Linked DNA regions of Oryza sativa Japonica Group. The protein of the gene in region 1 interacts with the protein of each later gene in a pairwise test. Links are inferred from orthologs where the notes say so. Each region holds a gene or a part of one and is shown in the gene's direction. Other genes may lie near its edges.

Evidence for each region.
Region 2: the proteins of cell division topological specificity factor homolog, chloroplastic (region 1) and septum site-determining protein minD homolog, chloroplastic interact in binary tests that used the Arabidopsis thaliana proteins (3 or more experiments, as listed by UniProt). The link is inferred for Oryza sativa Japonica Group from reciprocal best matches to the Arabidopsis thaliana genes MINE1 and MIND.

The regions. Positions count from the first base shown.
Region 1 is NC_089046.1:19,400,066-19,404,318, reverse strand, and holds cell division topological specificity factor homolog, chloroplastic, read left to right. Parts: upstream 1-1,261; 5' UTR 1,262-1,325; coding exon 1,326-1,442; intron 1,443-2,801; coding exon 2,802-3,395; 3' UTR 3,396-3,643; downstream 3,644-4,253. UniProt on the Arabidopsis thaliana protein: Acts as a topological specificity factor during plastid division and specify plastid constriction sites (such as the Z-ring) in a MCD1-dependent manner. Especially involved in epidermal plastids division in a FTSZ1-dependent manner.
Region 2 is NC_089040.1:565,562-569,611, forward strand, and holds septum site-determining protein minD homolog, chloroplastic, read left to right. Parts: upstream 1-1,400; 5' UTR 1,401-1,488; coding exon 1,489-1,972; intron 1,973-2,828; coding exon 2,829-3,265; 3' UTR 3,266-3,464; downstream 3,465-4,050. Other genes in the region: uncharacterized protein, read left to right, coding at 3-166. UniProt on the Arabidopsis thaliana protein: Together with ARC3 and MCD1, regulates FtsZ ring positioning in chloroplasts in an ARC6-dependent manner. Calcium-dependent ATPase required for the correct placement of the plastid division site. Inhibits FtsZ filament and ring formation in the plastid.

The DNA.
Region 1 (4,253 bases):
TTAGCTCGAGTGACTATAGTTTCAGCTTGTGCATCATTTAGTAGATGTCAGTTTGAGGGATCAAACAGTGTCCGATTGGGCTGTTTTTGGACAGCTTGGAAGGGACTCATAAACCATCATTTCTACCAAGTTTCATGTAACTCGCATATATGGTTTGGGAGATGTTAGTTGAGAACCGAAGAGGACAGAATCTGATATTTCTCTGCTTGTTATTGTTATAACTCTTGTTAGTTGTTATGGTTGATGTTGATGATTGACAAGTATGTAACTTGATGGTATAACTGCTGTTGTAATGTGCCTCTAAATGTTCTAGAGAAGACTCGAATCGTACTTATTGTTGATTATAGTGGAAGCTTGGAGTGAACCATTTTGTCCCGTGGTTTTTCATTCCTTACACTGAGAAGGTTTTTTCACGTAAATCACCGTGTCTTGTGTGCATGTGTTTGTTGTAGGTACGCTGTTGATTTGCTAGTTGAAACAATTCTCAAAGTTCATGCGAAGATGAAGGGTTAATTTTGTGAAATATGTTTGCTGGTTAGTGAATTGTAGTTTGCACATTGAAATGATTTGGTTCATCTCCAACAAGTAGAATGTAAATTTAGTTTCAATTCAAAAACGGCAGCTTGATTGCATGACGAACACATGATGTTTACCAACCAGAAGGTCTTGAGCTCGATTCCTTGCGCTTGCACGCTTTAATTTTGTTTCACTAGGACCTGGTATGAATCTTAATTTGGATCAGATGGACCAAAAATAACATATTTGTAAAGAAAAAACTAACGCCATATTTTTATCGTTTTGTATATTCTTAGCACAAAATGTGTTTTCTCCTATAGGAAAAATATGCAAGTACGCCAAGTACTCCCTCTGTCCCAGTTTACTAGTCGTTCTAGGAAAGAGATGACAAAATATGGTGCTGGAAAAATGACCAACGTGCCCCTACATTAATCATTTCAATGCTTAAAAATTAACACAAAACTAGTACTGCGCCTGTCATTCTGATATGTCTGCAACCAGCATGGGGAAGAAAATTAATAGAAGTACTCATACTAGTGGCTAGCCTGCTAGCTGCCCTACGCCTAAACGATCCTCTTTCTGGGACAAACTCTACACCCCAGCGACAGCTAAACCGGGACGGAGGGAGTACTAGCCACCTACTGTTCTCCGTCCAGCCAGGGCCACACGTGAGACTGACCAGTGGGCCCCACTGTCGGTTGTACCCCAGTTGAGGTGACCACTACGCCACCACCTTTCCAATTCCATTCCCATCCCAAGTCCAACCAAGAGTGGAGCAGAGACTCACTGGAGACCAAACCCTAGCTGCCATGGCAATGGCGACGTCGATCTCCGCCGGCTTCGGCGGCGAGCCCGGCGCGGTGCTCGCCCCGTCCGCCTCCGTCCTCCCCGCCCCGCGCCGGCGCAACCCCGCCACCAGCTCCAAGGTCCGGTCTCCATCTCTTCTTCTTTCCCCTCCCCCCAAAACCCTAGATAAGATGGAGGAGGTTGGGTCTCCCCGTGGCCGGATGCCATCTCGGATCCCTGCGCGCTGATGAAGATGAGATGATAGATTCGTACCTCTTTTTGTTTTTTGAAGGAACAAAAGATTGTGCCGCTGCACCTCGTTTTGGGGGTGGGGGTGGGGAATGGGGAGGAGAAAAAAATAATGAGAGAGGAGATTTTTCATGTTGAGCGTTCTCGATTCCAACATCCTCTTGGATCTAGTGCTGTAGAATACTAGAATTCGTTACCAAAGCGGCGGTTTTGGTGTGCTCTGATTCTGGTCTGTCGCGAGGTTCACGAGGAACTGTTGGGATTTAGATATTAGTCAAGCTGTGAAATTTGATATGTAAAGCTGCGGAAGACGCAGCTATACATTTGCGACCTCTGGTCTAGTTTGTGTTAGCGTACAAGCAAGTGTAATTGCTAGGTGTAGACACAAAATGCTGGCCTGGGTGTCTCGTGTAGTCAAATGTTTTCGAAGCACATCTGCTGTTATGAGTTAATATTAGATGTTTGAAGAGAGTGAAAACCTAACTGTGTTGTCAAATATGGGTGTGAACTGGAAATGACAATGTTCTTATTTAGGATTTGGCATACAGCCTATCTTTCTATATCTCAGTCTTAAATAACCTTTGTTTTATACCTCCTGAGATGAGTATTAGTCATATTACAGTAGGTCAGGATAGCACATTAGTTGCTTGTCCCATTCTTGCCTATAGGAGTTCTGAGCAAATTATAAAGTTTTTGTTTGGTTGGTTTCTGAATGGTAACTGTTTCAAATGCTTAATAACAACTCAAAAGTGTGTATCATTCTACCATGCTCTTGTGCTGTTCTGGTTCTGCTCAATTTAATATTGGATGACTTTTGGAATGAAGCGACCAAATGTGCTAACTCCACTATTATTTTCATAGATATGCTGCTGAGACTATTGTAGCAAAGACTCTTCTTGAATTGTTTAATGTGCTAACAGATCCTGCTTGGATTGACACTGGTACTGGTAGTGATGCCGAACTTGAATTTTGGCAAAGCATATAGTGCATTCACACACGCGTACCATGTTTCTTTTCCTATTGTAAACTCTTTGGAGTAACCTTGTTTGAACTTCTCCGTAATGGTTGAAAATCATAATCTAATGAAAATTTCTGGTTTGTCTTGATTCTTGAATGTGTAGTTGCATATAATTCTCAGCTTTAGATTGCATTCACATTGGATATTCTTTGCATCATAGAGTTGTTTTTTTTCTATGGAATAGCATATTTCAGTGGATTATTAGCTAACGACTTTACCTCTACTTCTGTAGGCACAGTTTAGTTCATTTCCTCGTGGACGATCTTGCAACATCATGCTTACTCCTAAGCATCTAGGCATTGAGCACCAAAGCTGTTCAAAGAGCTCCATTCAGACTTTTGCTCTTTCAAGGAATGACTTCTCTCCTATTGCTCAAGAGGTGGAAGGCTTTCTTCACAACATTGTTAACATGGGGTTTCTTGATCGTCTGAAATTAGCATGGAAGATAATCTTCCCAGCACCAAGCATTAAGGAGAACTCTAATGCAAACATCGCAAAGCAGAGGCTTAAGATGATACTGTTCTCCGACAGGTGTGAAGTGAGTGACGAGGCAAAGAAGAAGATTGTTGAGAACATCGTTGAGGCACTCTCTGAATTCGTGGAGATAGAATCACGAGACAACGTCCAGGTGGATATCTCAACTGATGCTGGCCTTGGCACAGTATATTCTGTGACCGTTCCTGTTCGCCGTGTCAAGCCTGAGTACCAGGAATCTGAAGAGCAGTACAGAGGGAAGATCGTAGGTGTTGACTTCAAGGACACTGGAGAAACATCAGGCAGCGTCGACGTTACGTTCGATTTCTTCGTGCCCAACAAGAACTACTGACCGTTGTATTCCCCTTTTGCTTCCGAGTATCCCAGAACTCCTTGGTTAGAATGTTCAATTTGTTGAAGGCTTTCTTCGCAATCTTGGTTAGTCTAATGTACATATCTAGGCTTTTGTTTGTCTCTGCGTTTCATGTAATTTTATTTTGAATTTTTGTTCTGAAGGTGGCAAATATCAGTACCGTGGGGTTAGTCCAACTTGGATTTTCCGAAGAAATGTTTATTTATAAGAAAATAACGTTGTGCGCTCGTGCTGATGTTTTGCCAGATACACTATGTTCTGCCATGTCCCAATTTTGTAATGTGATTAAATCAATCATCACCTGATGCATATCACGACTACACCATGTTCTGCCATGCCCCAGTTTTGTAATGTGATTTAGTTAATAATCATCCGATCTTCATACTGCAGAACACATATCTGATACTAGCATTTGTCACGGTTGATCAAATATTGATACACCGGCTGAACTAAATTTCTAGTTTGTGGACTTGTGGTAGATCCATCCTGAATTCTGGCCGCTCAAGCAGGTCTGCCATTAGTCTAGAACCTTGGGGTCAGAAAAAAATGGTACATTCTATGGAGCATAGATATCTTCCAAATGCTCAAAGATAAAGTGAACGCAATGTTGCTGCGCCAATTCTTTCGAAGAATAAACACCGAAAGGAATGAGAAGCTTAATTAGTTAGATGGTTCCTGCCAGATGTTTCGTGGTTGGGACAGAGAGGCCAGCTGCCAAGAACATGGTATATGACAGGGCATTACAAAAGATATATACAGGGTAACTACATTTTTCTCTTGACTGACAAGGGAATAACATTCTTTGCCAAAAGACCAAAAATACAAAAACTAAGGTGA
Region 2 (4,050 bases), on another chromosome or scaffold:
AGGTCCATCAGGTCCAGAACTGAGAGGCAATCACCCAGATGCCTTTGAAAGGTTTCTCCAGATGGAGCTTACAGCCAGATCCAAGCAGATGCACCCAGCAATGGCTGGTCATGTACCTGGCGGCATGTACGGGCCCGAGCTTGACATGAACTTGAGATACAGATAGATGGATGCGTGTGATTGCTTATGCAGTATGAAGGACCCAGAAACGGTTTGCTGTACTTGCGTCAAATAGTACTCTTTACCCATGCCATACCGCTATGTACCTGTGTCAATGAGCTTGGGTTAGCGTTTACCATCAATACAATCGTTTGGCTGCGATAAGGTACCTGATGATTCACTGGTGGTGGGGGTTGGTTGCATTTGCATATAAATATGGAGAAGTTATGAATGGGTTGGTGATCTGGAGTGATCTGTTGTGAAAGTGGGGAACCCAACGAATATTGGGTGAGGTCCATCACCGTAGCAGCCACCTCTGCATTGTGTCTGTCTGCCTGCCTATCTGTTGTTTTCAGTTTCTGTATAAATACTATTCTGCAAAAGAAAGTACCAGATTGACAGACACATTTGGAAGTGTTTCCCTGGCCTCACCTTTTCTTTTAGCTACAGTAGCATTTTATGTTTAATTTAGTTTCTAGGATAAAATGCTATCCATGTAACGATTCTCTGGTATTTAAGCATTTACCCCCTCCGTTTTCAAAAAAAAAAAAGAGACCAATCCTACCAATGAACCTTGATTCGTAGCTAGGAATTTGTTTTTTTTTAACGGAGTAGTAGTTCAGGATAAGGAGTCGCCGCAGAAAGATCAACCACTCAGAACATGACATGTTAGAAAAATAGTGTATAACATTGGTATTTTCCTATACTAAGCTATCTGTTTTTTTAACCAAACAATTTATATCAATCCTTCTTTTAATATATGACTTTTGCAAATATATGATTTTTGCACGTATGTATGTAATTACCATTTATTTTGCTAGGATTTGTTCTTTTACAAAATTTTTAACAAAATTATATATCTATACTAAACAGTTGTGGTGGAGTAGTCACTACCACTGACATGCGATGCCATTGTAGGGGGCTTTCACCCATTTTCCTGATTCCCTCCTTCGAATGGTAAAAAAAAAACATTTAAAATAGGACAGAGGGAGTACAATGTATGATGATTTATTTTCTTCTACTCGTATATATGCAAAATTCAATGGTAACATTTTTCAAATTAAATAAATCTAGAATAGGATATCATGTTATTCTAAGTTGGTTTATTTTAGAATATATTATAAGTGGGTTTATTTTGGTAGGGAGCAAACAATTCATGGGCTTAAAATGTTGGGAAGTTTCTCATTTCTAGGCCTAAACGATGCTAGTACTAGGCAAGTAGAGTAGCAGCCAAAGCGGACACCGCTACCACCTCCACTACCCACCTTCCTTCCTTCCTGAGGATCTCCGCTTGAAGAGAAGAGAACCCCAACCCTAACCCTAACTCCAATGGCGTTCGCCCCGCGCCTCCTCCTACCTTCCCGGTGCCCCCCGCCGGCCTCCTCCCCCGCGCGCCACGGCGGCCGCACCGCGCCTGAGCTGTCCGGTCCCACCCCGCGCGTGGTGGTGGTCACCTCCGGCAAGGGCGGCGTGGGTAAGACCACCACCACGGCCAATCTCGCCGCCTCCCTCGCACGCCTCTCCCTCTCCGCCGTCGCCGTCGACGCCGACGCGGGCCTGCGCAATCTGGACCTCCTCCTCGGCCTCGAGAACCGCGTCCACCTCACCGCCGCCGACGTGCTCGCTGGGGACTGCCGCCTCGACCAGGCCCTCGTCCGCCACCGCGCGCTCCATGACCTGCAGCTGCTCTGCCTCTCCAAGCCCCGCTCCAAGCTGCCCCTCGCCTTCGGCTCCAAGACCCTCACCTGGGTCGCTGACGCGCTTCGCCGCGCCGCCAACCCACCCGCTTTCATCCTCATCGACTGCCCTGCAGGTCAGTCCGCCCCACCACCATTTCCATCAACTTATGATGATGGATGTTATATGCCACTCGATTTGCTTTAACGCAATTAATAATTGTGATGTTTATCTTGTTCTCGCTTGCCCATCCCTATCTATTGCCCAGAATTGTAACTTTAAGAGCCATGATGCAAGTCAAACTTTTTATGATGCCAGTGCATAACCGTGATGCAACTTATATTCTCAAAGTCAATCCATTTATGCATATTACCTATTTTCTATTTTAGATTTTAGAGCCATATCAAGTTATCCTTTGATCATTGTAACTTAAGATTTTGTTTTCTTACCTGCCACATATAGGTGTTGTTTAGGCCAGGCATCAGTTTGTTTAATTTGGTTGTGAGCTGTAAATTTCAACCCCACTGATTGAGTGATTGACCATCCATAACTAACTGCAGCATAATTCTGTCATGTCAATATATAATTATGAACCTTCACCTTTTAGTGCTGGTCTGTTAAGTGAAAATGTTGCAAGACTTAGCTTTATCCTTTGCTTAGGACATGGCACCGGTGAAATGGTAATAGGTTCCTTTTGGCTTTGTAATCACTGGTTAAACGTCTATTACATTTCCTTAATGAAATGGGAATGTCATCCTCTCTTTCTTAAAAAAGAAGGAACCTTCTCCTTTTCTATCTCTATAGTGCTGTATTCACTATCCCATGTTCACAGATAATAAGTTAGAGCACTGCAATTGTCACCACTGATTTGATCAATTCCAGTGCCACAAATATTATCTGCAGTTGCCTGATAATAATGTTAGATTATAACCAGTTATATATGCATCCACATATGTTATGCCAGATTGCTTAAATCAGATTTTTCTTTGTAGGTGTTGATGCAGGGTTTGTCACTGCTATTGCCCCTGCAGAAGAGGCCGTGCTTGTTACTACCCCTGACATTACGGCTCTCCGTGATGCTGACCGTGTTGCAGGGCTATTGGAGTGTGACGGCATCAAAGACATTAAGATTATTGTCAACCGAGTACGCCCAGACCTGGTGAAGGGAGAGGATATGATGTCAGCACTTGATGTTCAAGAAATGCTTGGCTTGCCTTTGCTAGGTGTTGTGCCAGAGGACGCGGAGGTGATCCGGAGTACAAATAGAGGTGTGCCGTTGGTTCTGAACGACCCACCCACACCAGCTGGTCTTGCTCTGGAGCAGGCGACTTGGCGGTTGGTGGAAAGAGATGCAATGACAGCAGTTATGGTAGAGGAGCAGGAGAGGCCCAAGAAGAAAGCTGGGTTCTTTTCATTCTTTGGTGGGTAATTTGCTGTGAGATTAATGAGCTCAGTGTAGGCAGTGTGTACAGATTTGCGTTTTGGAGCTACGATTGTTTTTCCCATTTCTTTTGCTTTGTTATAGTGTAGAATGATTCATCCGTTGTGCTTAAATCCATAGACTGGAGTATTTTGCCTTGTTTGCTCAGTACATAAGTAATTTACGAAGATATGTTTTGGTGCTTCTAGTCTTGGATCTGGTTTTACGTCAGAATTAAGCAAGAATGGAGATGCTCGTTTTTGTCGTCAGAATCAAACCGTATAGTTGTCGAGTTGAATGCTTCCATAGTTCCATTGATTTTAAACTGTATACTGTTCGGTTTGACGCCAATTACTTTATAATGTTTCCCTTAAAATTTTTCTGTCTTCGAGGACTAGGTCTGGTTGATTTCTTTGACATTTTGCCAGACCTTTGCTATCTCGGCAATTTGATAAATGGTAGCCACATCATAACAAGGTAAATTTTGTATCACGACATCAAACTCAACTGGAACACTCCGAAATCTTTTGATGATTGTTGAATATTTTCTTATCAATAAGTTACAGCTAGCAGTCTAGCATTACCATCATGTATATCTGGCTTGAGGACACGTATAAAAGGTAAAGTTGAATTAAAACAATTCATAAGCTTAGCCACCAAGCAAATAATACACAAGCATAGATTTTTTTTCCATTTTTAGTGGAAAAATGTGCCATCCAGATTAAGCAGATGTTACAGTTGTGTCATATATAGATCTTCCACTCAAATTACAGAAACAGAAACACAGCGATCTC